Drosophila melanogaster: one gene and its partners. The protein of the gene in region 3 interacts with the protein of the main gene of each other region in a pairwise test. Each region holds a gene or a part of one and is shown on either strand. Other genes may lie near its edges. The genes, in order: CG13133, scramb1, CG34198 and mamo.

What was found.
Region 1: the proteins of CG34198 (region 3) and CG13133 interact in a two-hybrid assay, tested with the Drosophila melanogaster proteins (one large-scale study listed by BioGRID).
Region 2: the proteins of CG34198 (region 3) and scramb1 interact in a two-hybrid assay, tested with the Drosophila melanogaster proteins (one large-scale study listed by BioGRID).
Region 4: the proteins of CG34198 (region 3) and mamo interact in a two-hybrid assay, tested with the Drosophila melanogaster proteins (one large-scale study listed by BioGRID).

Annotation. Positions count from the first base shown.
Region 1 is NT_033779.5:10,089,174-10,095,852, reverse strand, and holds CG13133 (uncharacterized protein), read left to right. Parts: upstream 1-3,463; 5' UTR 3,464-3,617; coding exon 3,618-4,271; 3' UTR 4,272-4,645; downstream 4,646-6,679.
Region 2 is NT_037436.4:10,219,985-10,230,357, forward strand, and holds scramb1 (scramblase 1), read right to left. Parts: upstream 5,257-10,373; 5' UTR 5,047-5,256; coding exon 4,876-5,046; intron 4,254-4,875; coding exon 3,884-4,253; intron 3,277-3,883; exon of another isoform or gene 3,224-3,276; coding exon of another isoform or gene 2,922-3,223; intron 2,118-2,921; coding exon 1,627-2,117; intron 1,569-1,626; coding exon 1,410-1,568; intron 1,149-1,409; coding exon 1,089-1,148; 3' UTR 501-1,088; downstream 1-500. Other genes in the region: CG32055 (uncharacterized protein), read right to left, coding at 1-180.
Region 3 is NT_033778.4:19,679,744-19,685,714, reverse strand, and holds CG34198 (uncharacterized protein), read left to right. Parts: upstream 1-2,737; 5' UTR 2,738-2,815; coding exon 2,816-2,995; 3' UTR 2,996-3,269; downstream 3,270-5,971. Other genes in the region: CG15128 (uncharacterized protein), read left to right, coding at 1-29; CG15127 (uncharacterized protein), read left to right, coding at 4,439-4,696.
Region 4 is NC_004354.4:13,982,287-13,990,388, reverse strand, and holds the start of mamo (maternal gene required for meiosis), read left to right. Parts: upstream 1-3,946; 5' UTR 3,947-4,018; intron 4,019-4,314; 5' UTR 4,315-5,175; intron 5,176-8,102.

The DNA of each region.
Region 1 (6,679 bases), on a different chromosome or scaffold from region 3:
TTTAAATTTCCATTCTCTTGAAATCTAAAAATATCTAAAATTTCAAGAAAATGCGCGTATAAGCTGTTTGGTTAGGAAAACATTCGAAATGGATCGAACTCTTTAGGAATATAACTATTATATGGTAAATTGTTGTTTTTATCTTTGCAACAATTTAACCAAATATAGTTTGTATTACTTGTTATTCAATCGGCAGATGGCCATCAAATTGATAACGATGTGTTCTATTTTTATGCGGTATTCGAATAAAGGATTGTTCATCCGAATATTACCTTTCAAATAAATAAATGTATGGCCCCCATTCCCGCAAATCGATAACCAAATCTATTCTCGGAGTTCAGTTTTTGTTATCTAGTGAAGCCAACTATGCGTTTTCCAAATGCCAACTGCTACATAGAACAATTCGGACCCTTCCATGGCCATTCCGCCAGCTAGCCCCATCCGATGATGATGATGGTGATGGAGGAGGAGGTGGTGGTGGTGGTGGTGGTGGGGATCCGGACTTATGATTACTTTTATGCATATTTGTACGGATCCCCCACATGTACATGGTATCCTTGTTTGCTGCAGGACCTCCACGTGGCTGGCAGACCTTCCATCAGTTTCAGTTTCGCCCAGTTTGCGTGGCCCACTCGGACGCATTGATGTGTAAAAAATGACTGCCGTACAAAGCCGCAAACATGTGTTTTACTCCACCCAAAATCCCCGCAAATGGAGGGTAGGCAAGTATTAGTAAATATTTTAACTAAAGTGAAGTGAGTGAAGTCATTCATTTGGACATTTACCAACTTTGCATTATACAAACGACTACACATTAAATCCGTCCGATGACTTTACTTTTGCGTACTAAAATAACCGGAAGTAAGTGAATTTTTAATGCTTGATTTCACCGCAGGGAGATGTTCACTTGGGCAAATGCTATTTATTATCGAAATATGGCCAATACTGGCCATCTACTGATTAGTTACCACCGATGGCTATTGGCAACCAATTGGCACATTTAGACAGTTTGCTTAAGGCACGTATAAAGTAATTGTGTTTAGACTTAGATAAAGGACAATAAATATAAGTATACATATCTAGTAACATTAACTACATTTTAAGAATATGAAGTTTCGAGCTTTCGGAACACTATCAACCAATCCGTTGTGGCCAAGTGTAACGAACCTTATGTTCAGATACAGATACCTTTAAGCCCGCAAACTGAGGCGTTCGGCCGTTAATCTATTGGATTGCCAGTCGCCGAAATTGTGACCCAGTTAGCAGATGTTTATCGCAAGCGTCGTAGGCAATAACCCACTTAATGAATGCAATTATTTTCCAATCACGGCACTAAGGCATCCAAAGCTGGTTGCCAAGAGGCCCGCAACCATGGCTAACTGGCCCCAAACTCCCAAAACAGGGGTGGCTTTGATTAACATGCCTTGGCGTTCCAATTGCCATTTGAAGGCGGTAGGTACACACACACACACACACATGTGTGTAAAATAATCAATGGCCACGGTCATTAATTGCGCCCCTAATCCTGTGTCCTTTGCAATCTGGGGCGAGGATTTGCAGGACTACAAGGCCGTTGGGCTGATTAAGTGCCACAACAGTAGTAATACAATTATTGAAGCAGCGGCTAAGCAAATACTTCTCATTAAGCCAACTTCGATTGTCTTAATTGTTGGATTTTACTTTTCAAAAATATCCTTAATCGCTTGAAATAATCGAGGTCCTTTTATTGTGCAAACTACACCACTTTTTGCTTACTTAAAGCTTGCGAACACCTTTAAAGTCTGAATTGAACTGAGTTCAAGACTGAAAAGCAGCCAACAAAGATCCATTTTTCCCACATTTTATTTGCCTAACAAATTCCAGCTAATTCGATCAACAGGAGCTTGCTAAAAACTAAGCTCTGTACGTTTCTCTGACGTCTTTGGCATCGATGTGTTATGTAAAAGCGGTGCACAATTTGTAGCCAGCAAACCAATTGACCTTTTGAGGAAGGAATTTAGATTCCTGCTAATATTAGCTTAACCCTAAGCACTTGCGTAATCTATATTTGTCCCAGCGCCATGAAGTGGAAGGGCTTGACTGCCTGTCAATGCAATTTCAAACCCATCTACCCCTTGGCCCCCATCCCCTTTTGACTTTTCTGCTTTTCCCTTGGCCAAGAAAACATCGACTTTTGGCTTGGAAGCTAACGAAACTGTTGCAGTCACTTTTGGCCGTGCTCTGAAAATTTGTCAAACTTGCTTAAAAGCCAAAGCAAAAATTCAATTTCAGCAGCCATGCAGCGCGAGCAGCCAAATTGCCTGACCCCAGCAGCACCAGACATAAGTAAAATATATATCGTATATATTTTACAAATTGGCTCAACCCGGGGCAGCAGTGGTACAAAAATGGCAGCAACAAAGAGGCAACAACTGTCTTGACAACGCAACGACGATGTCGTCGTCGTCGTCTAAGGACAATGGAATACAGCTATCGAATACAGGGTGCAAATCGAGAGGAAGTGGTTGTAATTTGGTCCCACGAGCCTTAAGGATTTGGCGGGAAATTTAATCCGACGCAGCTTTCATTATCTACAGCCAATCAGAAAATTTGGTTGCTTACTTTTGCCATATTTTCCGTAAAAGATAGCACCCTGTTAACAGCTGTTTGGATAGCACTGCAGTCACACTGAAAAAAAAAACGCACTAAAAAAAGTGTATTTCAAATTTTAAAATAAGTATACAATTTTAACAAGGACTTTTGCCACTCTTCATGGAGTAGCTTTCGATTTTCATAGATATCCATGCAGTTTCTCTTAGTGCATAAGTATCCAATGTTGCTGTGGGGTCACGATTTTCATTAGTTTCATTTGCCACAATGCGTCTGCCATACTCGTCTGCCGAGTTCAGTTGCTCGGATTTGCTTTGCTCTTCCCGTGGCGGGGTGACAATGGTACAATTAGTGACACCATTCGCCATTCCTCCAGCACTCGGTTTGATTCAAAATTTTTGGCATTATCTCATAACTGGCTCAACTCGCGCTGTGTGCACTGTGCTCTCCTTGTCCCGTCTTCCGATTCCGGCTCCTTGGCGCCGCTTGTGCAATAAAAGGACGAAGCTCCGCGGCTGATTGGACTGCTGGTGGGACGGGTATTGATCAAACAGTTCGAGTTGTCGGACAAGGCTGAGACCCACTTTCCCGGGAACGCGTGTCCCACTGAAGGAACGCGATACAGTAAAATCCTGATATATGTAACTGATTGAGAGTTATCACTTAGTAAAAAGCCATTTACCTGTAGCCAACTTAATTAAAAGAATATCTTTTGGTTTACGTGCATGTTTCTAAATGATCCTTTCCTGCATCGAATTGGAGTCGCACCTACTGAAGAGTCACTGTACTTAAAAACGCCATTGAAGGTGGAACAGAAATATGCTCAGTTAGAGTGGCTTTGGTGCCAGGTACAGTTGTGCAGCTCCAAGTTCCAGCGATTACCATAACCTCATCCACTCAGTTAGCTTGTAAGAGTCGAACCGGGCGGAGGGCAACGGTTTTTTTGGCCACATAAGCCAAAAATCAACACGCTTGCTCCGTGTGTCCAACGAACCGGAGTCCGTGCATCGGGAACCGGTGGCGCAGTCATGCCCATCCACTGGGACTGGGATTGGGAGCATGATCACGAGCATGGTCACCATCACTGGCAACCGCCGCGTCGCCACTGGTCCACCGGGGAGTCCAAGTGCCGGCAGAGGCACTACTATCTCTCCCACGACCTGGACGTATGTGCGCGGGACTTTCACTTGCGGATGGACGACAGTGCCTGGTGCCATGGATCCTGTCTGGTTGGGCGAGTGGTCATAGAGACCGGCACCGAACCGGACTCCCTGGGTCGGGGCACCTTCAAGGTGGTGCTGGACGTGCACCACTTTCAGATCTCTGAGCTCACGGTGAAGGCCAAAAACAGCGACACCGTGTGCGTGGAGGGCAAGCAGGCGGATGACCGGGCGGAGAAGGGTCAGTTGTGCATCACTCGCGAGTTTACGCGATCCTACAAGCTACCACGGCACTACGATGCCACACAGGCACGGGCCACCTTCTCTGCGGACGGAATACTGATGATTACGGTGCCAGCACCACCGAAACTGGACGACGTGGAGCGCGAGATCGAGATTGAGCCCACGGGCAATTACTTTGGCAGCGTGTCCGATCCCACGGCGCCCAAGGCTATCGAGCAGGCGGATGTGGACGGCGATGGTGGAGAGGCTAATCCTGCTGGCACGGCGATGGACAAATGAAGCCGGCGACGTCTGGCGGTTGCGCGGCGGTTCCGCTTGCTCATACCAAAGTGGAGGCGGAAGTCCAAATGCGTTTAGGCCGCCAGAGGCAGTCGATCGGTTGGAGGGCAGTTGCAGTATATCAGACGGAGAGACAGTCGAAGCACATTCCAGTCACCTGGCGCACATGCACGTTGGAGTTTTTCGTGGAAACCAAAATCACTCGGATTGTTCCTGGGTTCCAGCTTAGATAGCACGTAGTCCTTCGTTCGAAACGTGAGCAAATATGGCGAAGTCAACATTTTGTAGAATTTTCTTAAGGTAGCTTCAATATAACGTTTAAGAGTTCATATCCGCTTGTGATTTTGTTTAACGCCAATAAAGGACTTTATCAGAAAACAGGAGAGTTTTGAATATTTCCAGATTTTTCGAAGAAATAATTTAACACCTTTAATCTTATCATTTATTTAAACGGTATTCTGTTTTATTTTGTACTGTATTTTGCAATGGCTGTTCATTTTCTTCGAGCTTAATTATTAAATATAATGAAGATGAACATTTCACTGGAAAATATATTTACATTTAATGAATTCTAAATCAAATCGGATCAAGGTATTTAAAGATAACAATGTTTCATTCCACCAAGTTGTTATTTCAAGTACAATCCGAATGAAAATATCCTCCAGCTAATCGGGAAAACAAACCCAAATCAGGGATAAATCATGCCTCTGGGAAAACTTCAGCTCGAATTCAAAACCCAAGCGAATTGGATTTCTCGCTGCTTTTAACTTTCCTGTCACGCAGCTTTTGATTAGCGTCAAATTTGAATAAAATTCACTAACACCTTTTGTGTTTTTCTTGTCTGTGTTCGTATCCTCGGGCACATGGCCCATAAAAAGACAATAAAGAAACCCAGCTAGTCAGCTAGAAGTGTATAATAGACGTAGGCATACGTACATATGTATTTTAGTTTGGCTATCGACCCAAGAAAATTCTAAAAAAAAGGGAATAAAACATAGCTACAAAGCTCTTTTCAAAAGCTATGAGATACATGAAAAGATTTGCAATTAAATGTCAGATGAAATGATTTACTATCTGCAGAATAAGTTTAAAAATAGTTGGGTAACAATCTTAAGCTCCAACATATTTTGCACCAAAAAAATAAAAGGCTGGGCACTTTGGGGCGTGTGACCCACTTCATAAGAACCCAATCAAGCCTTCGACCTTCTCCCAAAATCGTGGGCTACTGCTCCGTTTTTGATTCGGTCTTGGTCCCTTGCAATTTAGCCGTTGAGACACGTTTTCCCGTTACGATTCTAATGAAATTTGCTACATCTTGAAGTGAATTGTTGCAGGCCGCAGCGCGGCAGCTGAAAAAATTGCCAATTGAGGAGACGAGGTCGCGTACACTTTGTCATCGTTTTGTTTTTATGCGTAGTTGCGTTTAATAAAGTTTTTATATGGCGCCCTCGACTAAGAGGGGAATCCCCGAACGTAGTGCCCATCCTGTCGGATGCCCGGACGGACTGCCTGTTTTCTAATCTAGTTACGATGCCTGCAGCTTTAAGATATTGGTCGGGGGACTCACTTTCCGGGCCGTAGGATATTCATATATTTACGAGTATGGCGAAGGACGCGCGATAAAATATTCAGCAGAAAAGCAACTTCACAATTTCAATTTCCCATGCCATATTGGTGACGGCGGGGACAAACCAAAATAACACAACGATAATAAACACCTACACACCCATTTTATGAACTCATAAAACACTCCGATGGAATCGGAATCGTATATTTTATATATATATATATATTGTGCGTGTGTCCGTGCTTAAATAACTGGATGAGGCCTACAGCCTTGTTGTCCATAAAAACGCACCCATATGCACCTCTTCCGCTCCCGGGATCTAGAGAAAACATTGACCATCATCGACCATCGCCATGGGCCATTTCCATTGTTGTTTCATGGTTTTTATATTTCCCGGTTCGCGACTCCGCAGAAATCGGTATGCGGCTCACAACTAATTTTTATTTTCTATGCCCTTTGATCCACTGCGGGCGCCGATTGGAATGTTCTGCTGGCAACTTTTCAATCACACACTACCACTACTAATCAAATATCCCCGGGGATTAGCCAACTTGTAGATGAGTTGACGGTGTGCGTGAAGGACGGGACACCTAATTACGCAAATTGATGCGACATTAGACGGTAACGGAGCTGGAAACTGGAGCTCTCTAGGGGGATAGAATACTGAAGGACTTGTTTCCGCCAGGGGATCTTAGACGCCGACTGTATTGACATGTAGGAATATATAAACAAACATTTCGCATGCCGAGTTGATTTAATGGTAAATTGAAGCTTAAACATTTAACGGTGTCCTTTTCTATCCTTTTATCAAAGTGCAATTTGTGAATGAGCATAGTAACAA
Region 2 (10,373 bases), on a different chromosome or scaffold from region 3:
TGTGTGTTCATTGACAACCTTCACACTTTTCCAGTTTTTACCGACATATCGATTCAGTTGCTCAAAGCTCTCGATTTCCCGACAGAGATAGCTACCATTTCCAAGATCCTCGCACTCCTGAAGATCCTTACCGAACACTCCGGACAGAAGCAGCAATGCCAAAACTTGCAACGCCTGCATTTTTACTACTAAAACGAACTTCTGCTTGAGCCAAGTGCAATGCGTTAATTTGAGTTTATTTTTATCAGAGCAAACTCGTTTCAGTTCTTTAGTTCAGCTAAAAGCCGGTTTCCGATTCCATTTACCGAAATCAGCTGATGATTTAGTGATGGCCTCAGTTCCAACGAAAGGAAATTGTTTTCAACACGAAACTTGCTCCGGAAAACACCTATATAGTTTTTTAAAAACATACATTTTCGTTGTGAAACAAAATAATTTAGAAACATTCGAGTATTACGGACTATGAATTTATCTAGGGGTTCCAGCAATTTATCGTTAACCAGTATATAAGTTTATAATTTATTTAACTTTTGTTGTAATACATAAAAAGAAAACCTTCTGTTCCATAATATCAGTAGGGATATATATAAATTTCCTGATGCTTAACAATATACAATGTTAAATATATTTTTCTTTCCATAAGACACTTAACATACAGTTTAAAGTACATGTTTCAATAACGAATCATTCGTTAGTTAGTTGTCGCTTCAGAGCATCAATACAAAATTCATAAATAAAGCTGATTTGTCGTTGAATACTTTACACAAGTAATTGCTGTGGCAAAATAGCAAAAAATGCTAACTTAAAGTTAGTTTTATATTCTGGCAATGTCCTCTCGAAGGAAGCCTGAGTTCAGTATGTTCATCAAAATTAACAAGGAGTTTCATTAGTGCGATCCATTTTCATCAATAAGCATTTGGTACAGAAGACTAGTACGCGACAGTTCACCGGGAAGATATTTGGATAAAGTTGCAACTCAAGATAATGCACAACATTTAATCGTCGCAATCGCATTCGCAATTGCCACAAACGCCACAACAATCGGTTGCAACGCATAAACAATTCACGCACAAGCCAGCACCCGATTCCTAAAGCATTCCGGGCCTATCGGTCTCTTGGTTTCCGGCTTTCTCAAAGAACATGGCATCCTGTGGGGCAAACAGAAAGCATTCGTTTAGAAAACAGACAGAAAACATTGACGAGTGAAGGACTTAGTGCTGGACTAGCCTACTCAAACTAAGCTGGAGGATTTAATGGGCTGGAGGGTCAACATTACCTCAGCACCAACGAAGTCTGCGTTGCAGACGTCTTAACAGCTTGAACCGATAAAAATGAACACTATACAACTGATTGGCAGAGGCCAATGATAAATAACTACAATAAATCTTTGCTGAAAAGAAAACACTTACTATGAGGAATGTGGCACCCAGCAAAACGGCCTTCATGCGCACATCCAAGTCCAGTGGGAAATTGATGCCGAAGAAGTCCGCATCCGTGAAAATTTCACGTGCCAGGCCCGACCACTGTTTCGAGATCTTGCCTATCTTCTCACCAGTGAGCGAAACAACCTGAGAATCAAAAAATATTAGTAAAATCACACAGAACATTTGAATTTTATAAACATACATTGAACTCAACGTCGCCGCAGAGCGAAAAGGTGCAGAAAGGTCCTTCGATGCGCATCACCGTGTCACCCACGTGGTTGAGGATGCGGAAGGATGGCGAACAGATGGACCACTCCTGCTCAATGGTGCCGATAACATTGCCGGGTGGTGCCGAGACCTCGATACTCTGCAGACAGCAGGGAAACAGACAGGAGGAGCAGGCCAGCGGGCGGTGCATGTGGATCACTTCCTGCTGGAAGTTATCAAAGACCCGCATGTCGAAGGGACGCGCAGGACCACAGCAATTGCGCGTGCAGCAGTCGTTGTCCTCCGCCGCGAAATAGACCTTCTGACCCAGGGCGTTCTTGATCGTGAACTTGTTGTTGGTCTCGAAACCAGTGAAGGCCTCGAGCAGCTCGACCTTTTGCTTAACTAAAAGCTGGTCGATAGTCGTAAGGTACTCCAATCCGCGCGGACAGTTCGGAATTCCGGTAGGTATACTCATCCAGTCTCCTGCAAATATAATACTCATCAATATCCATTCTCAATAGAAATGAGTGGCTTAAATTGTTATAAAATTAAATGATACATGCATACAATAAAACATACAACCAAAACAAAGAAGCACCATTCAAACTAAAGACTTTTTCGGTTACGGTATAATTTGATTGAAGGGAATTTAAAAATAAAACTTAAAGTGAACTTTATGAGAATGTTCTCTTTTTCCGACTTCTTATAATCTTGGCGGTCAAATTAAATTAGTGCACACAAAAGGCTAACTTGTTCAGTGCGTTCAGTGGCCAGTGTGTCAATTGGTCAATGTCAGCGACACAATTACTCGGCCTTTCTAATTGGAAGCGTCACAATGGAGCATGCCCCTCCTGACACATCCCATGGATAACCCCCAGCCACAAGCTATTATGCTACCTCACCCATCGGCTCTTGTATCTAATCGGCGGTAGAAAGATAGTCTTTATAACGGGCTCTAAAGATAAATCTACTAATAAATATTTAATTTCACAATGTAAGAAAACCTTGAAAAGATAATTTTACATAATTTGCACCAAACTACAAAAGGCATATCTTAACGAAACTACTTATTTTAAGTATTAGCGTATTTTTATATATTCCTAATCATTCCTTTCACTCACGTTCGTTTTCACTCAATTTTTTTAATCAAAAAGGTAGTGTAATTTATCTATTACCTCGCTGAGTATTTCATTTTTTATACACTCGAAATCTTAAAAGGTTCATCATTTCAACCCGTCATCTTCATCCCTACAGTTTCTGGTCAAGACCACAATATGACTTCCTTACCTCCTGTCCTCGTCGCTCATGTAGAACTCGTATCCCTTTCGCTTGGCCGACTTATTTAGTCTCATTGTGTGCCTGAGTTTCTTGGGCAGTGGTTTGTTGGCTTCCCTGCAAACCAGTTGCCTTAGAGTCTGGGATCTCGAGCAGATCTGATTATACTGGCTATACAGCGAGTGCCAGATTAAGCGCAGCACCTTGGAGCCGCTCCTCACGCCCCTGGAATGAGATTCCTCCGGATTTCCCCGATTTTCGCCACCACTTAGGTCCAGCGTGGAAACACAACTTGCTGGGTTTTCGGTGGACATTTTTTCAGACTGACACGACTGCCTGCTCTGCAGCACAGAGATGAACTAACTGCTCGTTGGGAAAAATCAACGCCATCCACGACGACGGGCGCTTTAAATGACGCTTTGTATTATTTTATTGGTTCAATTAAGGCAGACGCTAGGCACTCCGATAAGCGCCAAAGATCTGGCAAAGATATTCAGCTTATTTCGGACGGATCCGATGCACGTGTAAACAAAAATACAATTGATAAGAGGCGGTCTAAGAACCTTAAAGTCTCTAACACTCTCCAAATTGACTACGTAAATGTTTGCACCCCACTTTGCTTCTGGGGGAACCTTTGTTCTACACCGATCTTGACGAGCTACCTCTATCTGGGACGATGGGTTCAGTGCCTGCACCCGAAGAAATCTTAAGACAACTGATTGGACATTATCTCAATCGCAGGGCAACGACACACCGACACATCACAAAGATGCGATCTTGTTTTGATTCAGCGGTTTGTGTAGTAAAATTATATAAGAAGTAAGCTCAGATATGGAATGAATAATTTTAACAAGGAAGCAGAAAGCGATAAAAGTCTCGTGCCATGATTTGAACACCCTGATTTGTGTAGAAATATGTGAGTCCAACATGTAGAACATTTGTTTTATGTTACAGACTAGTTTTTGATTACTTGCCTGCTGGTCCGCCCTGTGGGGCCATCCCTGGACCCATTCCCGGTCCCATTCCCGGTTGCGTGACAATGGGCTGTTGTGGTTGTCCCGGTGGATAACCGCCGAATGCGTTTGGTGGTCCTCCTGGTCCTGCTGGTCCGGGAGGATATCCGCCGAAGGCCTGGGGCGGTGGTGCTCCTCCTCCGTAGTGTGGCTGTCCACCAGGACCACCTACATAAGGTGGCTGTCCGCCTGGACCACCCGCATAAGGTGGCTGACCACCTGGACCACCCATGTAAGGTGGTTGTCCGGCTCCGTAGGGCGGAGCTTCTCCGTATGGCGGCATTTGGGGAACTGGAGCGTATCCGGCTGGCTGAGGACCTGGCATAAACCCCTGCAACGATCGGGAGTTGATTAAAGAATGAGTTGAATACTTATTTCAGGGGCGTTTCGATTAGTTTTTTGTGCTCTGGCTTGTATTCTTGTAGCTGTACTTATCAGCACTCTGGCACGCAAATGTATGGAGTAAATAAATATTCTATAAGAATGAAAACTTCACGCGGTTGTGCATGAATGATGAGTAATATTTTAAGTTTATCCAAAACTTAATGGAAATAAAACGCTCTTTTGGCATGAGTGAAAAACATAGTGAAAATAGTAAAGCCATAAAAACATTCATACGTAAATGTAAATAAGTAAATGCAAGAGAATTAAGCTTTCGACTTGCTTATCCAGTCTGCATTACTGGTTTTACAGTATGTATGTACATATGGATGTACATTGAGTTCTCAGTTGTTTGTGTTTATCAAACCGCCGATTCCACGGATTCGCGTGCAAATCGAATGAATCTCTTTCATTCCACAGCAAACTGACTGTGTGTCTGTTGATTTATAAATAAGCAAATACCAACTGGCATGACGTCATGGTTGTGTTGTGCTTGTACAAGAAGCACCCTTTACACCACCCACTTTCCCTAGCATTTTCATCGGCTACAGCGGGACACTTTTGGAACTCACGTAATTCGTGGGCGGCGGCGGCTGTGGATGACCGGGTGCGGGGGGATAGGGGGCGTTGTGGCCCCCAGTGGGCGGTGGGTAGCCGAATCCTTCGGCGGGCGGAGCATTTGGCTGGAATCCGGATCCGAAACCGGGTGGGGCGTAACCGCCCTGATTGACGTTACTCTTCATTTCGTGGGATTTCCCCGGATTTTTCCTCTTTTCCTGCTCTTCTTCTGCTCTCCGCGTGCTGCGTTGTTGTTGCACTGGAGGGGAATTGTTGCGGCCACGGCCCCAACGAAATCGCAACAATGTTGTATTTGTTTTGCACGCACTTTCTGTTAAGTACAGTAGTAGTTTCGATAGTAATGCAGTTCGCGAAATCAGGTGGGTTTCGGAGTGTAACCGTGACTGAAGAGCGAAAAAATACCAGCTACACGCTAAATATGCCAAGTTTTTAGCGGACAATTTCTCTGGTTTGAAAGAAGTTAGATAATTCCTAGAATGCATAACTTTAAATACAAAGTTCAGTTATATGAATTAAAATTAACAAATATTAAATATATTTTAAAATTGAATAGATGGCGCCATCAATCTTTTTAACAAAATGTTTACTTGACAATGTAAAAGTCATGTATAAATGAAATGTTTTCATAACAGCATTGCTCTATTATTAGCAGAATACAGCAAGCAAAGACACCATCCAAAATTGAAACGCCCAGTAAAGACTCAAACCTACGAGCTTGTAACTTGGTTTCTTGAAATTTGAATGTGAATCAGTTACATTTAAAAACTAATCTACTACGCTCTGAAATTATTAGTTTATTTAAACGGTATTTATATATTTCCTAAAAAATAAATAAATAATAATATTGTTTTATATACTAAATGCTTAAAGAAAGCGTTTCCCTAACTTTAACATATGCTTATTAAAATAATAAGAATTCGCATAAAGTTACTTATTCAACTAGTTATTATTATTGTTTTCAGCATAATTAAAATTTATGTTTTAGAAGCTATTTAGTAAATAAGGCATTTCCTTTGATTATTAATTTATGTTTTTAAATTGCTTAAATTTACATTTTGTAATATACGTTTTTTCTTGCTTTACTTATACTATAACTATATCAAAAATACAACTGTCCAAATTAAATAGAAACAAAAATCGTATAGTTAAAAAAAAAATGCTGAATAAATCCATTTTGTATGCCACAACTGGCTCAGAGAACAGTCCACATTTTTTCTAATGCGCAAATTTTCATTGAGAGGGTGTGCCTCCCCTACACCTCAAGGGTGCGACAGAGAGGGGCTGCGTGGTAGAAAGGGAGAGAGAGGAATAGAGAGGGCGGCGTAGTTGGCGCGCATAAAAAATGGCGGTTTCCGACGCAAGTAAAACGCAAAAAAAAAAATGATGGAAAAAATGTGGGCAGGGTGAGCGACTGTTGTAAGAGTGAAAGAGACGGGCTGTTGAAATGTGAAAAAAATGCTAAAAACCGTGTATATAGAAAAAAACTGCGAGCAGAATTCCACCCCATGGTCATGGACATCTAGCAGACGTCCCTCACTCACTCACACACACCACGGTAATTACCCATACAAATGCAGCGAGAAATGGAGGAATCGTCATCAGCATTACCGTCATGGTGGAGGACCACCCACACACCGCGCAAAATCACACATTTCGTCCTCGATGCTATAAACTTAGAACCCAATGTCCACTGATATATTTCTATATACTAAATATATTCCTTAAAGGAACACAAAATCCTGCACAATAAAATTTTCACTACGTTTGCGTGATGTTTATTTACAGCTTGACAATTTTAGAACTATTATACGAATGTATAATGGAATATATTATATATTATTAATTGACTTATATAATTTGCCTAAAAGCTATTGTTTCTTTCTGTGCAGGGCGGATTTAGTGGATCTAGAGGGGTCCTGGAGAAGGACTCATCAGGGTCAGGGAAGAAATCCAGAACTGAGCGTTTAATGCGCCATATAACGCAATATTTGTGCTGCTGCTGTGTGGGTGAGTTTAGCACATTCAATTAGTTGACTTTGCAATGGCAGCAAATGCAGAATGCGAAAATAAAACAACCGACTGAGAATTCGCATTCAGAATGGGGACCGGGAACGCGAACATATTTGCGGTTGGCAACCGACCAAAGGCACAAAAGCCGGGCTCAGCAGTGCAGCAGTTGTTGCCAGGCCAGCCCCCTTTTGTGCCACCACCACCTTTTAGCCCCTTTTGGCCCCACCCATGACCTTTGGGCCAGGGCCGTCGCTGAACGGTTCAGTGCAGGAGAGGCTCTCAAAAAATCAGGCAGGCGGCAAGCAGCCAACATAATGCAATGGTAAACAGCCATGCGGGTCCCTACACTGCTACAAAATCCAACATCAATACCAAAGGTTATGCAAAAAAGTTAACTGTGTACATATTAAATATCAAATAGTAATGATCACTTAAATCGACTTACTTTCTTTTGGATATTCAGCAGAAAATTTAAACCACCTATACTATTTTCCACTGTGCACCAAAGACCCTTAAAAAGCCCTGGATCGGGTTTCGTTTGAGCCTTGCAAAGCGCCTCATTAGCCGTCGCTTCGTCCTTAAAGCTGCTGGCAAGGAGCAATTTCGGGCGTTGCTGAACTTTCTGTCCGCCAATCGCAAAGGCGATCTAATTTATGGCCCTGTCTTTAGCCTCGAAATCGAAAGGATCGGAGCGTCTGACAATAAATCAAGTTTCGGAGATGCGATCAAGTGGACTTCTAATGTCCCGATCGATCAAAGCTTCTTTGCCACGCGGCCAAAAAGTTGCAGCTGCTGCCAGAGATCCACAAACCAATGAATCATTGTAGAACATATAAAATACAAAAAGAATCAAAGATGAAGAAGACTAAGCTTACTCAACCAAAAATAAAGAACAAATATCCCGGTTCTTTGAATTCAATTCTAAAGACATTTGATAACAAAGTTTCTCTTACTTCATTTGGAGTACTCCTACTTATCATCAAATTGAAATAAGGTATCAGCCTTCCTTTAATTGAGTTAATTCATTTCGACTGTTAACTAAATAATATGAAATATCCTTTCTTTTAAACAGTAAGGCATATATAAAGCATATGCTTCAAAATCAATAATCTTAATAAATTTCGCCATTGACGAGTCTGCAGTAATCTTTAGACCATATATGGTTTCCCAAATCTGGCGAATCTTCACCATTTAACCGAATCCACATTGCGTCGGGTCAGTTAAGCGTGGGAACACACACATCCCCGTTGCGAAAAATGAAACGAAAAAAATGTGTCAATGCCGCAAAGGGGGGAATTGCAACTGCCACTGCATTTGGTCAATGGCCAGTTGTTTTGGCCCTCCTTTTCGCCAGCTGCGCCATCGAGTGCACATGTGCATATGCCAAATGCAATCACGATGTCGCGATTTCCAAAACGAATGACAGGAAGTGCCGAGCCACAGATACACAAAAAGAGTGAACAAAACGATGTGCTGCAGAGAGAGAAAGAGGGGGGGGGGATTTACACACCTGGCTCAAAGCATTTCACCTTGCGTGGGTCAGTTACCAAGTTCACAAGCGGAATGCCAAAAGGGCGAAAGTGTTTCCTAGCTAATTGCTTAATTACGATCCACGGACACGAAGAAAAAGGTCACAAGCCGGCTGGCCAGTGGAAAACTGGGTCAGAAAAGCCGGCGGAAAAGGGTTGTGCGGCAAAATCTTAATGAGTTTTCATTCTGCCATTGGCCTCGTCCTTCCGAATGTTTTCCAATTAAAAGCACAATGACCCTTCTCCCAGGGCCCTATGCTAATGAGCCCGGCACGCACTTTACTCTTAGCCCGGTCCCTGCAAAAATTAATTACCAACCAAGTGTTGAACTTGAACTTGTTGTCTGACCGTTTTTAAAGCTGGCTAAAAAATCAATAACGAGATTTTTAGCGGGCAGCAGGATTCTAGAAATGAGGAAAGGGTTGCAGGGTGGACCTTGTCTGGTTGCCACATGTCATGGTAAAAAATTTAAATCAGAACCGACAGCAGGACGAGCTAAATGAGTGAGTGTGTGTATTTTTGTCCGATTTTTCTTCCCCTTTTTTTGTGAACCCTTTTCTGCGGCGCTTTGTCCTGGCCGAGTGGCTCAACCCTTTTTCTCGTTTTTTTTTTCTGTATTTTTTCGGCAGGACGCTGGGCAGGACTTTGACAGGATGCTGGTCGCTGGCACACGGTAATTGCTTATTTAAGCGCGCGCCTTTATCCTTCAACGGGATATGCCTGGATATGCAAACAAGGGGCAGCGCCGAGGAGCGGAAAATAAATTTGAAAGAACCGAGATGCGAAACAAAAGGCCAAGTAAATGCCCCGTGTAATTACCGGCCAGCGGAGGGCGGCGAGGGGCGGTGCAGCTGTCTAGCCGGACCATCCGAGGAATATCCAGGATTCAGGACTCAGGACTCCGCAGCGAGTTTGCAGTAGCATCCCGAAATGAACTGCAAATCAAGCTCGGTCAGCGGGTAAGGGTTCGAGGGTAGCGGCGAACCACGGGTCACCGTGCGTGCATATTAAAAATCTTTTCGGCATGAATTTTTACGCTGCCATTTGCGGGGATAAAGCAGAGATTCACACTTCAAATAACGATTTGTAATACATTTTTAAGAAGTCATTGTAATATCTTACATATTAACAACTATTGGTTGCCTTAATTTACAAGACGCTAACTTTAGGCTCCTTAAGTATCCAAAGATACTATTAAGTACAGAATATCCATTCTATTTTTAATGAATTTCTCTAGAATACATTCCGAATTTAGTACGTTTAAGTGCATCTAAAATCATCGAAAAACAATCTAAAATCTAAAATGTTTTTCCCAGTGTAACCCAAAAGGGTTAAGGCCCACTCGCGGGCAGCTTTCGATGTGCAGTCAACTGCGAGGTGCCTGTCTGCCTGCCTCCGAAATAGAGCAGCTGGCACTATCTAGTCTAGCCTATCGCCATCTACAAATCTGAGCGGGTCAGAGGTCATCGCGGCCGAAAGGGGTGGCTCCGATCGATCTGCCTGCCCTTCTGGGGTTTTCACAGATTGTCGCGCTTCGGACTTCGATGATAGATTTGATGGAAAAAAATGGACAGGGTACTGAAAAAACAGACGGACAGCTGGTCGACAAGCGCAAACAACTTTTGTTAACAACTCAATATGCATGGCAGAAAAAACAGCCACAAGACTCTTCGTTCATAAATTAAATAAAGTTGACTTTGGTTGGTGCAGTGGAAAAAAATATAATTAATTTCTATATTATGCAAATAGGATAAGATCAGAACGACGAGATTATAACAGTATCATATCAATACAAAATTTAATATTCCAATGTATAAAGCAGCTTAAGCTAGTAGAAGTCATATACATTTTTATTGGAGTAACTATATGAGTTGTTTGTAGTGTAACTGACTTGATCAGACCGTCGATCTGTTAATGGCTAGGGTTTAGCAAGCGGTTTAGCATGTTGGGGA
Region 3 (5,971 bases):
GCCAGGATGTCGACTCCCAAGGTGGTTAATATTATATACTTGACTATTTTACATTTGTTTTACTATTTTACGGTTACACCAAAGAAATAAATATAAATTTTAAATATTTGTGTTTTAATTTAACTTGTTACTAAATGTTAATTCTATATTTAAAGAAAGTAAATGTGCTCGTAAAACGTAAGTGATTTCGTTCATTAACATTTCTATTTAAACTAAAGTTTATCCCACGTAAAGTTCGTAATGCATTTGCTATCTTCATGACCAGCAATAAAATGGCGACGTGTGATTAAAACTTTTACTTTGTCCCACATTTTAAGCAAAGGCTCTGAGAGAAACACACACTAACTTATATATTGTACATATACCTGGAGAAGAGTCGTAAAAATTCTATCAACTCGATTAAATTATAACAAGTGGATTTTCATGTTTTTGTGCCGCATTTATGTGTTTTTATTGTGCTAATTTTATGCCAGTCCCGCTGGCGCGGCGAACACCTCAAGAAGCAGCTCCTTTTGCTCCTCGTGCTCCTTGGGCAATTTCGGCAGAGAACTGGCACACACACACGCGTGTGTGTGTGTGTGTGTGTAGATAGGCACCTGGTGGCACCTGCAATAATACTTGGCACACATTTAGTGGCAGCATTTAGTGGCACACTGCGGTCGCAGGATCCAACGACGAAGTTCATTCTTGCGACATTTCCACTCTGGCTCTCCCGCCGCCGCCGTACTTGGCAAAGTTTTTGGCCTTCATCCTGCCGCTTGCCACTTTTTTAACAACCACCCACATGGCACGCCTACCCACCTGCCAGCTATTGCCTACCTGGTTTGGTAGCCTCGGCTCGGCTTTTGTCTTATCAAAGTTTTTGGCGCGCATGTGTTTATGCCACAAATGGCACTTTTGCGGCAGCGCATTTTATTTTTTACTGCCACTTTTCGCCATTTTGCTTTATCATTTTTATATATATTATATGTGTCTATACAGAAACAGTGCCAATAGGCTTGGTTCTGACCAAAGTTCAACCTACCATTGTTGCATTTGGACAACACTGCGTATACTCTATTTATAAACCCGAACAGTGGATTTAAATTTGTTCTAATTGAAATATTTTCATGGCTTGTAATAAGGAAACTTATTTGCCTGATTTGTAATATTTTTAATGGATTCTTTGCCTTTACTGCAGTTCTTAACTGTTGCTTTACACTGGTTAAAACAACAGTGCTCCCACTTCCCCTTTCCGGTTTTAAACAACCCTCCCAATAATAAATCTGCGTGAACCCCATTAACCCTTTAGTTATGTTCTTGGAGTCGGAGGAAAGTAACGACTCTATTAGTAGAGGAATTTAAATTGCCGCCTAGTTCGTTTTTATTATCCTCGAGGAGGGAATGGAACCTCCGGCGTAAGGTGCGCAAGCCAACTAATGACCCTGTATTTATATGACAGGGGAAAGTTTATAAATATTTATGGGGTGCTGCTGTTGCTTACTGTTGTTGCTGGCTTTCATCAAGCTAAAACTCATTTGCTTATTTTAAAATTCCGAGCAGGCGTAGTTTCATTTTTGACACCCGGCATTCGTCGCCGGTCCCCCAAAACCGATGTTCCCCATCCGTTCCTTTTTTAGGGATCTGCCGCACGTTGTTGCCATTGTCACGCACACACGTACTATATTTTTTACGCGCATATCATATTACACCCTCCAAACACACAGGGACATTCCCTTGCCTTAAAGGACCCTCCGACCAACCGACCAGCCAACCAACCAACCCCTTTCCCAACTGGGGATGCTACGGGGATCCATCGAGGTTTGGGGACCCAGTCGAAGTAAATAGAATCACGTACACTAATTATCATCGCCATTGCACGAAGGGCGCTCAAAAATATATATTTTTATTAATTTCAGCAAGGTAACGCCGCTCTAAAAGCCAACCAACCACCTTACACATACCCCATCTGCGGTGTTGGGTGAAAATTTTAATTGAGATCTCCGCTATTTGATAGCAACGAGGAACTATTCGCCCGAAATTGATGTGGCCGCTGATGCTGATGGGGCCACTCGAATGGTTGGTTTTGAATGCAAAATGCGTCGTCGGATATAGTTTTGAGTGCTCAGATAAGGTGGCATATATAATTAGCTGCCCCATTTGGCATTATGCGACATTTGTGTGTTTCAAGTTTCCCCCGATAGTTTGTGTAATGTGAGTCATTCATTTGATAAAGTCATAGGGGAATGAGAGTGCCGAACACGAGTTTAATTAAAGTGCTAATCTGACTCCAAGTAAAAGTAAATAACAAAGAATAGAGTATAAGATAAAAAATATAAAAATATAACCAAATATATAGACATCTTAGGGCTTGGAAAATGATGATGACGTTGTTTGTTGAATTGCAAGAAAAATAAACATCAGATAATACAGTATACAGCAAACCCGATAAAAATTATCAGTATATTATCAGATTTTGCATAACTTGTAAGTTACAAGAAAGGCCTTTGTTTATTTGAACAACAACGCTTGAATGCAGCGAATTCATAAATAAAATCATGTAATAAATAACCTATCGATTTTGTAGTTTTCTATCATAAAGCTGGTTAGACAACCAAGGTGGGACCCCAACGAATCGCTAGGTACTTCACACAAATCGCTGGCCACTGATAAGAGTTCCAGTTGCTTTTATCTATAGATAACACCCATAGCAGAGATTGCCGAGAGCGCGGCTATAATAGCACAATCCCAACAATATGACCAGTGCCGAACTAAACGCGTGCGGTGCAACAAGTACATTTTATAATTGAAAACAACCGGATTACAACCAATCGAAATGGACCACAGAACTCGCGTTGTGGAGGTGGTGCAAGTGCCACCCCAACCCTCGACCACGGTGATCGTGCAACCTCCTCCGCCGCCGCCTCCTCCCAAGGATAACAGTTGCTGTTGTTGTCCTTGCTGCCCCTGTTGCTGTCAGTGTGGCGAATGCTGTTGCTGCTGCACCATCATGTGAAAGACGAAGGTGCCCGCAGGCAAAGGACCTCAGAACCCCTAATTCGTTACGTTAAATTAACTTTCTATGTCTATGGAGGCCGCAAACAATTCACACAGTTTTTTCGTGCAATAAAATTTTACGATTCGTTATAAATAACTCTGTGTAGGGCTCACACTGTGGTTGCCATTTTTTTTGTGGCGAAGGGAACACGCTTGGTAACATATTGTCTTACATAAATCCCAATGCGAAAGTACCACAATATAATAAAAAGCCAAATTTAATAACATCCCACAAAAATTTGTAGTTTTATGATGCGCGAGCAGGGGGACAATCCTTTTTGGCTGCTGGAAATGCTCACCACATCATTTCAAAGTTAGTTCACATTCCGAGTTATTATTTATATGTTTCTCAATTTGCCAATAAAAGCGGAAAATGTGTCAAGAGTGCTGCCAACTCCGGTTCCAGGCCCATGCTGCTCTCATTTGATAAAGGATTTTATGACTCTTGGCTCTTGAATTGCAACCGCAGCGTCGGAGCTCTCGCCCCAAATATTTTGACGAGGGTCCCCAAAGTGGGACATTATGTGGGCGGGAGTCGGACAACGAATGCGAGTGCCTTTTTCCAAAGTTAGTAGTCTGCTCATTTAACATAATTTCTGACTCGCAATGCTTCTTTGCCAAACGTTTATCTAAAGCCCAAACCTTATTACTCATACGCACTGTGATAATTCAGACGGAAAACCGTGGTATTGATATCGAAGTGAACAGGCTGAAAAAATCCCATAGTTTAACAGAGTAGGAAAATTTAACACTTTTAACCTGTTTTCCAAGTTTAATATAAAATACTTGAGATACTTGGGCTAACATGTAATCTTAATAAAAATGGAAATACCAGTACTGCCTTTTTTAGAAAGCGGTTGGGGCCAAGTTTAGAAACAGCAAGTGGTGTAAATCGCTTGAACGAATTTTTAAAATCCAAAATAGTCAATTTGCTGCATTGGTTATTGTTAGTTACGATTGATATTTTTTTTATTGATTTTTTACATTATATATTTATTTATTTAGCTTGAAAGAAATTAATAATGGGGTACAAATTTGGTAAGTTTGAGCCAATGTTTATCTACACATAATATTTAGAATATTTATCTGAGCGACGTTTTTAAAAAAAATTGGGTGTGTTTTCCAATGAATATTCAAATGTGTTCCACTGTACCTGTAGTTTTTCTATGTTATTTGCGTGTACACAAATTCGTAATCAGGGCAGGGCATTGATCAAATGCCTACCGGCTTTAGATAATAATGAGTAAGATATTTCCACCAAACCGCCAACCATTTGTGTTCGATGTTTCAGTTAAAGGCGTGTTACCGAACGGGGCTCACTTAGTCGAGCAGTTTAGGCCAGTTACTAGTTATCAACTAGGAGTTTCCGTCATTAAATTAGTAAAAAAGTAAAACAAGGAGAATGTACAACGCAGGCTACCAGGTGGACGTGATCGATCCCTACTATCAGCCGCCCGTGGAGGTGGTGAATGTTATTGGACCCCCGCCCCCCGTAGAGGTGATAATGCCCTCGCCCGTTTACAACCAGCCGGTGGTTGTGGTGGAGCAACCCAGCTACAATCAGCCAGGACCCCCCCAAGGACCCAGTGACGCCGAGTGCTGCATGCTGCTAGGAGCCTGTTGTGTCATGGAGGAGTGTGGCCTGTGTGTCATCATGTAGATTGTGTTGTTGTCAAATGATTGCTATAAGAACTATGTAAACTAAACGCTAAATATATAGACTGAAACTAAGGATGACTAATCGGAGTGATGATTCAAAGTTTGCATTCAAAGCAAAGTTTTAAAAGCATATCAATTTAATATACGATGCATTAATGGAAAGTCGAACAAGTTGGTTTTAAGTGCTGAACCTTATTTTGATATGGTAATACAAAGTGCTTTTGTTAACAATAAATGTTTTATTTCAATTTCACATTCCCTTAACAACACAATTTTGATATCACGCAGACAGATAGTTTCGATAAATCATTAACATCATAAAATCCATTGTCTGCTGATAACAGCCCTTTGATTTTTTAAACTACCGACCTTGTAGCGCCTTTTTTGATAAAACTGCTTGGTGAAATGTTTTCTTGAAAGTTAACCACCCTTCTTGCTAATACTCAAACATAAATATAAACAAGCATAGATTTTTATTTCCTCTATCTTCAACAAGGAAACGTATAGATAGGCTTTTAAGCAAGCGAGGTATCTTTTCCAGCAGAATGCTAACCACATTTTTTTGTTGCCAGCTGTCAAAGAAAATTCAGTGTCTACGTGTGGACACATTCATCCCCTTCTTCAGAGGGATACGCCCAGGCCCATTTTCTTGGGTTTCCTTTTAATAAATATAAAGCGTTAATTTGCTGCATAATTGCGCCATGCCACACCCAGGACTACGTAGATGGGACAGAGAAAGGACGGACCCTTCCATCGCATGGCAGTTAAGTAGCGCAGCCTCGTGCTCCATCAGAACACAACGCATCAGAAAACTTGGGCCAACATGGTCTATACCCCATCGTGGCTCCCTTTTTCATGTCTTCAATGACAGTTATTTCATTTTTCTTGTTGATGTCTCTCCCTGCACTCATTAAATCAAGTTAAAAAGGCATATAGCACGCAGTTGCTGCCGATGTTGCTTGTTGCCGTTGCCATTGCCGTTTCCGTTGTAAGCCAAGCTGTTGAGTTGTTCTGGCCCCAACACTCTGTTGTTCTTGTGGCTGTCTTGGCGCAGTAAACAACAAACAGCAAACAGCAAACAGCAAACGACAAACGACGACAACAAACAGCCAGGAACCGACGACAACGAATTTTCAAATAACATCTCACAGAACTCCAGAAAGGAAACAATAAAGCCGATGCGAAGAAAGCGAAACTCCTCCAGTCATTTGTGACTCGACTCGACTCGACTTTACTTTAATTATAATAACTTGGCAGCAGCATCGTCGTGTTTTTT
Region 4 (8,102 bases), on a different chromosome or scaffold from region 3:
ATATTTCAAATTAACTACGAAAATCGTTATAACATAAAGCTAAAACCTATTTTTTTTTACTGTGCCAAAGTTGATCAAGAATTTATTGTGAATTTTATTTTAGTGCGATCTTTCCACACAAAACTCTACATACCCCTTTCTCTTTCTCTCTTCGTTCTGCCAAAAAAAAAAAATATATATATATATATGTATATATATATAAATAAAATTAAAATTGTCTTAATTTTGCGGCTAAGTGCTGGAGAAAATTTGCTTGTGAAGAGCATATAAAATAGTTCCCGTTCTTTCATAGAATTGTGCAGTTTAAAATTTTTTCTTAATTAAGACTGTTGCCAGCGGAATATATTTCTTATCTGTGTGCAATATTTTACACCTTAGATCATCCAGTTGGGGCCTAAATATTATATATATATTTTAACAACAATTCTACTTCAATGCCCATCAAAATTTGGCTAGATGTGTAGATCAAATGACTGCAAGGCAAAACGAATCTTGAATCTTTTTGGATTATTTTGTATTTTTTATAAACTTCTTTCTTAAACAAATATTTGTTGGCATCATTGTAAATTAATATATATATGTAACACTATTATTTTAATAGAGTTTTTCAATTTGTGATATTGAACCGAAAGTTACTAAATAGAACTTAAAATGTATGCATACTTGGAAATTAATTTTTCCAAATTTAATACATTTAAAACATTTCGCATGCTCTTGATAAGCAAAATGCTCGATTAAAAATTTAAATTTAAATATGGCAAGAATGCTTCAAAGAGTAATTTTTCAAAGTAAAAAGCTTGAAAAGTTCTTAAGCTCTATATAACCTTTAAAAAGACGGAAAAACGATGCTATATATGATATTTTTTTTAGGTATATAAAAAAATCCTTTTTAACTACATTTTTAAAATTTATAAAAAAAAAAACTCTTGTAAAATTGCGAAACTAAATTCTTTAAAATATTCAAGATCAAATTTCCGCAACTTGTGTTAAACCAAAAATCACATATAATTTTGCCCGAAAAAATCCTGGAAAATGTGTGCTAGAAGATTTCCTACCTTACTTGCCGTTAAACACATTGATCTTGAAATAGTTGACAGCGTGGCGGATTTCCACTCAATCTTGGCCAGAGTTTGAGTTCTATTCCTCTTCCTTTTCCTTTTGGCGGCACGGCTCTCTTTTGGGCCGAAAAGTAGCGGCCTCTTTGAAGGCCGAGTGCGAGAGAGTTTCGCGAACTGCAACGTCGACGTCGACGCTGGCAGACACACACATGCAATGCGTTTTTCGCTTTTTGCTCCACTCTTTTCGGCCTTTTCGCTCTTTCGGAGCGAGGTTTTCACTCGCGAATTCGAGTGAAGTTGCGACCACTATATTTTTGCGTTCTGCTACTTCTTCTCCTTTTTTTTTTTTTTGCATTCTATGAGTGTGCGGGTGTGTGTGTGTGTGCTGCTGCTGCCGCTGCTGCTGCTGCTGCTGCTGCTGTTGCTGCTGCTGCTGTTGCTGTTGTCGTCATCGGCGGTCCGGCAACGTAAACGAAACGTATCGAAAACGTATTGAATCATAACAGATCCGCACGTTGTCGCGCACGTACGCAGTCCGCGGAAGAAAAGCTACAGCTCTCTCTCTGTCTCGGCTAACAAACACACCAAACACACATTCACACACACCTATTCCAACTGCAACGGCAACTGCAACACAACTGCAACACAAAACAACAACCTGCGGCAACAGCAGCAACAACAACAACAACAACACAACAATTCAAAACATCAATCACGAATAAAAAAAAAAGTCAAATATTATCAATCATCCATCGACAAAAAATCGCATTTTTTCCTGTGTCGAAAGTAATTTCTAAATAAAATTCTTCCCTTTACAAAAATACCCGCAAAATATATATTTATATTAGCAGTAAAAAATCCAACATCGCGCCGCGTAACTTCATTATTTTTTTCAAGTGTTTTTAAGAATTTTTTTTTTTTTGAATATAAAATATTGCAAGTGAAAGCAGCAGCAACTATTTTTGATTTTAGCAAATTGTGCTGTTTCTCAAAAAGTGTTTATGACAAAGTGCTAGAAAAACCGGAAGGACCACATATATATAATATACAAAAAATTACAGAATTTTCGTATTTTGTGTTTGTTGAGGATCACTTAAGTGCCCCAAAAGGTCATGTGTTTTTCTAAGGATTTTAATCATGCATAGCCAAGTTAAAAGTCTTAAGAGGGAAACTAGTGATGTTGCGTTTTCCAAGGACAACTAAAGTCATTCAAAGGATATTGTTTATCATTTCGAAAATGCATAATGTTTCATGTTTCATTTGTACACCATTTTATGTTTGAATTTGTGTGCTTACTCATTCTTATTTACAAGTGTTGACAAGTTCTAATAATAACATTTCGAAACCACGAAAGGAAAGATTCAAATATCCAGTGTTTTGAAGGATTGAAACTATGTTTTTAAGAAGTTAGTTGCAGTTATAAAGAATGTCAATTCCGAATTAAGTGTATAAATATTTTAGGCAAATTTTTAGTAGCTAGGTAGTGGCTATTTATTGCAACAGGCCCTCAAAAAATAATATGTAACTAATATTGTAATGTGTTTTCTTAAATTGTCACTTGTCCTGAATTTGTGAATTGATTAACAAGTGCCAAAAAAAAAACCCAAAAAAAAAAAAAAAAAAAAAAACTGCAGCTTAGACATCAGATTAGAAATTGCCGACGGAATATCGCAGAGCTCTGTTGAAAATATTCTGAGCGGAATTTTTAGTGCATATTAGAACTCTAAATATTAAATGATATTTCAATGATTTTTTTACTGTTTCTTTTTTATGTCAATTTGGCAATTGCATTGTATTATTTAAAGTTTAAATATTTCCATACTTCAATTTTAAATGTATTTGTATTATACTCAACTAAAACTTTTAAGGTTTTAGTGTGAAAGTAATTGTAATTAAAGATTACAATTTTCGATTTTAAATTTTGTATGAAAATGAATTAAAACGAATTGCCACATTTTTCATTTAGCCTTATTCATGTGCTTTACTACTAATTTTGTGGCATGCACATAAAATCGCACTTTTTTTTAAACCAGTGAATAAACATAATTATTTAAAAATGATAAGTTCATCATTTTTGTTGGAAAATGTATTAAAACTTGTTAGATTTATTAAAGCAAATTTATTGAATTTAATAAAAAATTTAAAAGAATAGTTTCGAACCTTGTTTTTTTTGTTTTGTTGAATTTATCAGTTTTTAATATTTTTCTTGCAAACCATTAAAATCGATCAGATTGCATTCCGTTTTAAGATTGATAAAAATGATAGTTTCAATTTTATTTGAGTGATTTGAGGGCATATATGGCATTATTAAAAATAATGCACATTCAACTAGAGTTCTTGTCCTGCGTATTAATTTGTTGGACCTTTCTTTGTCCTTTTATTTGAACCCCAAAAACTTTCGGGAAACATATGGCAGACGGTTGTGTGAGTGTTTGTGGGTTTTATTTTCTGAATGATATGTTGCTGCACTCGTACAGATTACGCATACGCTGCGTTGTCCACTGCGAAGAGAGAGAGAGAGCGAGCGAGCGAAAAGAGAGAGCGCCGCACCGTGCACTTTCTGCGATTGAGTGAAAGAGAAAAAGTGACTCGCGGTGGGAAACGAGGTGCATTTTGGCTCAGCTTTGCTGCGTTTTTCACCGACGCTGCTCTTTTACGAAGCGCGTGCGGCGCTCTTAGTACAAGCACACACCACTCACACACACACACACACACACACACACATACGTATGGACTACGATGTGCAGGGGCACCCACACATAGGCGAACGGGAATCACTCGGCAATACGAAGCAACGCAGTCGCAGTCGCAGCGCTGCCGCCGCGCTGCCAACGCCAATGCTCTTTGGGTTTTGGGCTTTTGGCCAGGCTTTTTGGTTTTGCAGCTCTGTCGGCTTTGGACTTTCGCAGAGATTTCACACGCGATGCGATTGCAGTTCTTGCAGACACTTTCATACGTTCGTTCGTGTTTATTTTCGTTAGCCTTAGCCGCAAACAGCAAATAAATTACATTTTGCCAAGCGACAAAATATTCAAATATTTTACGAATATTTGTACGGAAAATATTTTGGATTCTTTATCGTTTATTTTTTTTTTCTTCTTTATTTTTGTGCGCGGTTTTTGGAAACACGAATTTCGAGTAATAGGTCCTTTTGCATTCATTTCTGTCCTTCATTCATGAAATTAATTTTTTTTTGAATTTTTTTCAAGTGCTCTGCGTCGGTTTCTAACACTAGTTTTTGTATACTTTTTCCCAGGCATAAACTTAAACACAACAAAAATGTTTTATAAATATATTATTATAAAATAAAAAATTACAAATAAATGAAGTAACAGCGAAAGTTTTTAACAAAGTCAACAACAACAACAACCACACAAAAGAAGCAAGAAAATCCTTAAGCGTAATTTTTTTGTATTTCAACAATGCAACAACCACAACAACTACATCTACAACAGGGGCAACAACTGCAGCAGCAACAACAACCGCAAGAACAACAACATCAACAACAACCACAACAACCAAATGAAACAACAACTCAAGGCGGCTTTGCACGTGTGTGTGTGTGAACAACAACAACAACAACAACAACAACAACAAAAGCGACAACAAGCTAAAAACTTTAGAAAAACTTACAACAACTTTTTTGGACTTGGAGCATTTTTCGAAATCTAAACAGCCTAAAGTAAATACCGAAAAATATCCCGCAATTATTTTGTGTTTTTTTCCCCATCTCAAAAACTACAATTTCATTTCAAATAGAAAAACGCAAACAATTTAAACAAAAAACATGCTCTAAGGTTGTGTTAAAGGAAATTAAACCTATTTTGCACCTTAATTCTTTGATTTCAACAAAATTACAACAATTTTTTCCAAGTGAAAAATTTGTGCGAACCGCAGAAAACAGAAAAGTGGAAATAAACAAAAATCAAGTCAAATTTAATTCAATGCAAACAGCAAGTGCAACAACAACATCAACAACAACAACAACCACAAGAAATTCACCCAAAACATCAACAACAACAAAACCAACAACTGCGGCAAAGGCATCAACAACAACACCAACAACAAGAAGAAGAACGAGAACAAAGTTTTGAAACTGCGGTGTTTGGCGTTTATGGTGAGTTTTTTTTTACTTTTCAAACAATTTTTCAAATCATCGAATCATTTATTTGGCACTTCGTTTGCGATATTATTTTATCAAGTGTTTGCGTGGGTCAAAAATCGAACACGAAGTGCTACTCGATAAGAAAAGTGTTAGGTTTGGATGAATTTTGGCCATAAATGGATTAATAGCAAAAGTGTGAAGTGAGAGGAATGGAAAGTGTTGGACAAAAACTTGTTTGCGATTAATTTTGTCCATAGAAGCCTTGAATAAACTATAACTTTGAATTGCAAAAAAAAAACGGCGTTAATTAAATAAAATATTTGCAAAATTACTAGCCATTGGTGACTTAACTAAAATAAGGTGCTAAACAATTTAACTTTGATAAGAAATACACTTTAGGGTCATTGCTACTATAAATGTATGCTAGATATAATATTTTTGATTATATATATATAATATTTGTATATTATTATTCAGACAGACTTCAGTTATTGCTGATTATAAAGAACTTAATCGTAATGCCTATAGTTAAGTGTGAAGATAAACATAAGTTAGTTGATATAAAAAATGGCAATAAAACACCCAGACGTATACATAACTCTATTCACGAATCAGTTTTGTTACCCTTTCCATATATATATATATATATATATATATATATATTTTTTTTTTATCAACCGCTCTTTTGGCGACGACTGTAGCACTTCCCGTTTGAACCGGATGCGCTTTTGGAAAAATTTGCTGAATGTTATCAAATATGTAAAATGGAAATGCACTTTTCTGGGCCACAACAACTGGCAAAAAATAAAATGCATATATCGACAAAGCAAAAAGAGACAAAAAAAAAAAAATAAAGAAATAAATAGTAAGCCAATCAATAAATTGGCAAAAAGAAAAGTAAGTTAACTAAATGCTTGGTCAGTTTTAGAAGTCGCCAGCGAATAGAATCGGCAAGAAGAAAATTCTCGAACTTCCGGCGCCACCAGAGGCGCCAACTAATCATCGCTTTTTTTTTTTGTTTAGCTTAGTTAATCAGGAAATTGGGCAAAAAAAAAAAAACGCTAAAGAAATTGGAAAACTTTAAGATTCAACTTGAATAGATGACATGTTTTGTTAGCACTATAGAATGTTATAAACGTAGTGTAAGTTATGTTAGATTTTATTTTAAGTATTATAAGCAATATATCTCCTTTATATAGCTACGATTTGAAACGAATATAATTTATTAAGCTTATATAAGTGTTTTGTTCTAAAATTAAAGTGGATTTTTTTTTTTAAGAGAAGTCTGCACTTCATGTAATTAAAAACCCACAACACAAGACCTTAACAAGACGAAACGCACTGTCTAGCTTCTTAGCGCGCCTTATCCTCATTCCCATCGCTGTCTCTCGACTTTATCGCAATTATAAATATTTATAAGAAATGAGTCCATACAAACGAATATCATTCCCATTGCACTTGGTGGGGGGTTTTTGAGCGCCGTTTTAATGGCTTCTTTCGTGTTTTTTTTTTTTTTGTTTCTGTTTTGTTTTTCAAATAGTATTATTTTTTATTATTTTTTGCCATACTGCGCAGACGCAACAAGATTTGCAAAATATTCTAATATCATATAGTATATCATGTTTTATTTTTTGACATTTCCATTTCGTTTAATTTCAGTTACATTTTCGTTTGCAAAAATTCATTACAATTCGCGTAATTGCGTTGCCTTTGTGTGGATATTGTTCGTGTGTTTTTCTTCTCTTTTTTTATGTGCAACAGTTTTCGCTCGTGTGTTTTTTTCTAATTATTTTCCGCGAGTGTGATTGTGTGTGTGTGTGTGTGAGTGTGCCTGTGAGTGCAACTAATGAGCAACTGCCGGTCGACTTGCCAGCGGTTGAAATTATTAACTCATTATGGGGTCTCGGGTGTTTTAAGTGCCTCAAGTCAGCCTGTTTTGTTTCGTTTCGTATTTTTTCTCCTCTTTTTTTGTTGTTGTTTTTTTTTTTAATGGCTTGCGTGCGTTTTTTTTTGTTTGTTTGTGCATCTCTTAATATTTTTTTTTTTTTTTTTTTGTGTGCAGTTGGCGGCAATTGAATAAGGTGCAACATTGTTGGCAGACGGATTCTCCTCGTATAAATGAGCAGAATTAATTGAAATGGCCGAAAAGGTAAAGAGAGGCGAGTACAGGGTAGCTCTGAGCCCAAATGCTTAAGTGCTGGTAATTGTTTTGTGGCTTGAGCAACCATTGATTAATGGCGGTTAATGTGCTGAAAAATTGCAAATGTGCTACACAGTTTCACCTGTTGTGCTGAACACGTTTTTCAATAAAAGCTAGTGCAAAAAATTAAGTATTAAGTTAACATAGCATAAGAACCTTAAGTACATATTTGCTGAACAAATATATTGCTTAAAAATCAAATTAAGTACATAGTACATATATAAAACGAATAGCAGAAAACATGTATAAATATATATTGTACATTGAATTATGTTTAAATTGACATAAACTAATTACATTAATTTTTATAGACATGAGAGAGAGAGAGTGAGGGCAAAAAATCGTCACAAACCCAAGGGATGTGTAAAAAAAATTGCCAATGGCCTTTTTTGCTAGTGCCGAAAGCGCCATAAAAAAACATGGGATATTCTACGTACAATACCCAAGCCGTAACAGTCATTCCCCAAACCGATTTTTGGCGCTTGGCTTGCCGTTGTCTAGACAAATCAATATAATCCAGACGGCAAATGGCCAATATAAAAAGAACTACATATAACAAAAATATTACGCATACGCCCGGCTGGATTCGTCGGGCGAAAAAAAAAGTGCAGCAAATTAAACAAAATTTTTAGATTTCCTCAACAAGTTCGCTTTTATGTTTTGTTTTGTATTTCATGGAGCCTTCTTTTTCTGTCTGTCTGGAGTATGTAAATATATATGTGTATATGCCTACAAATAT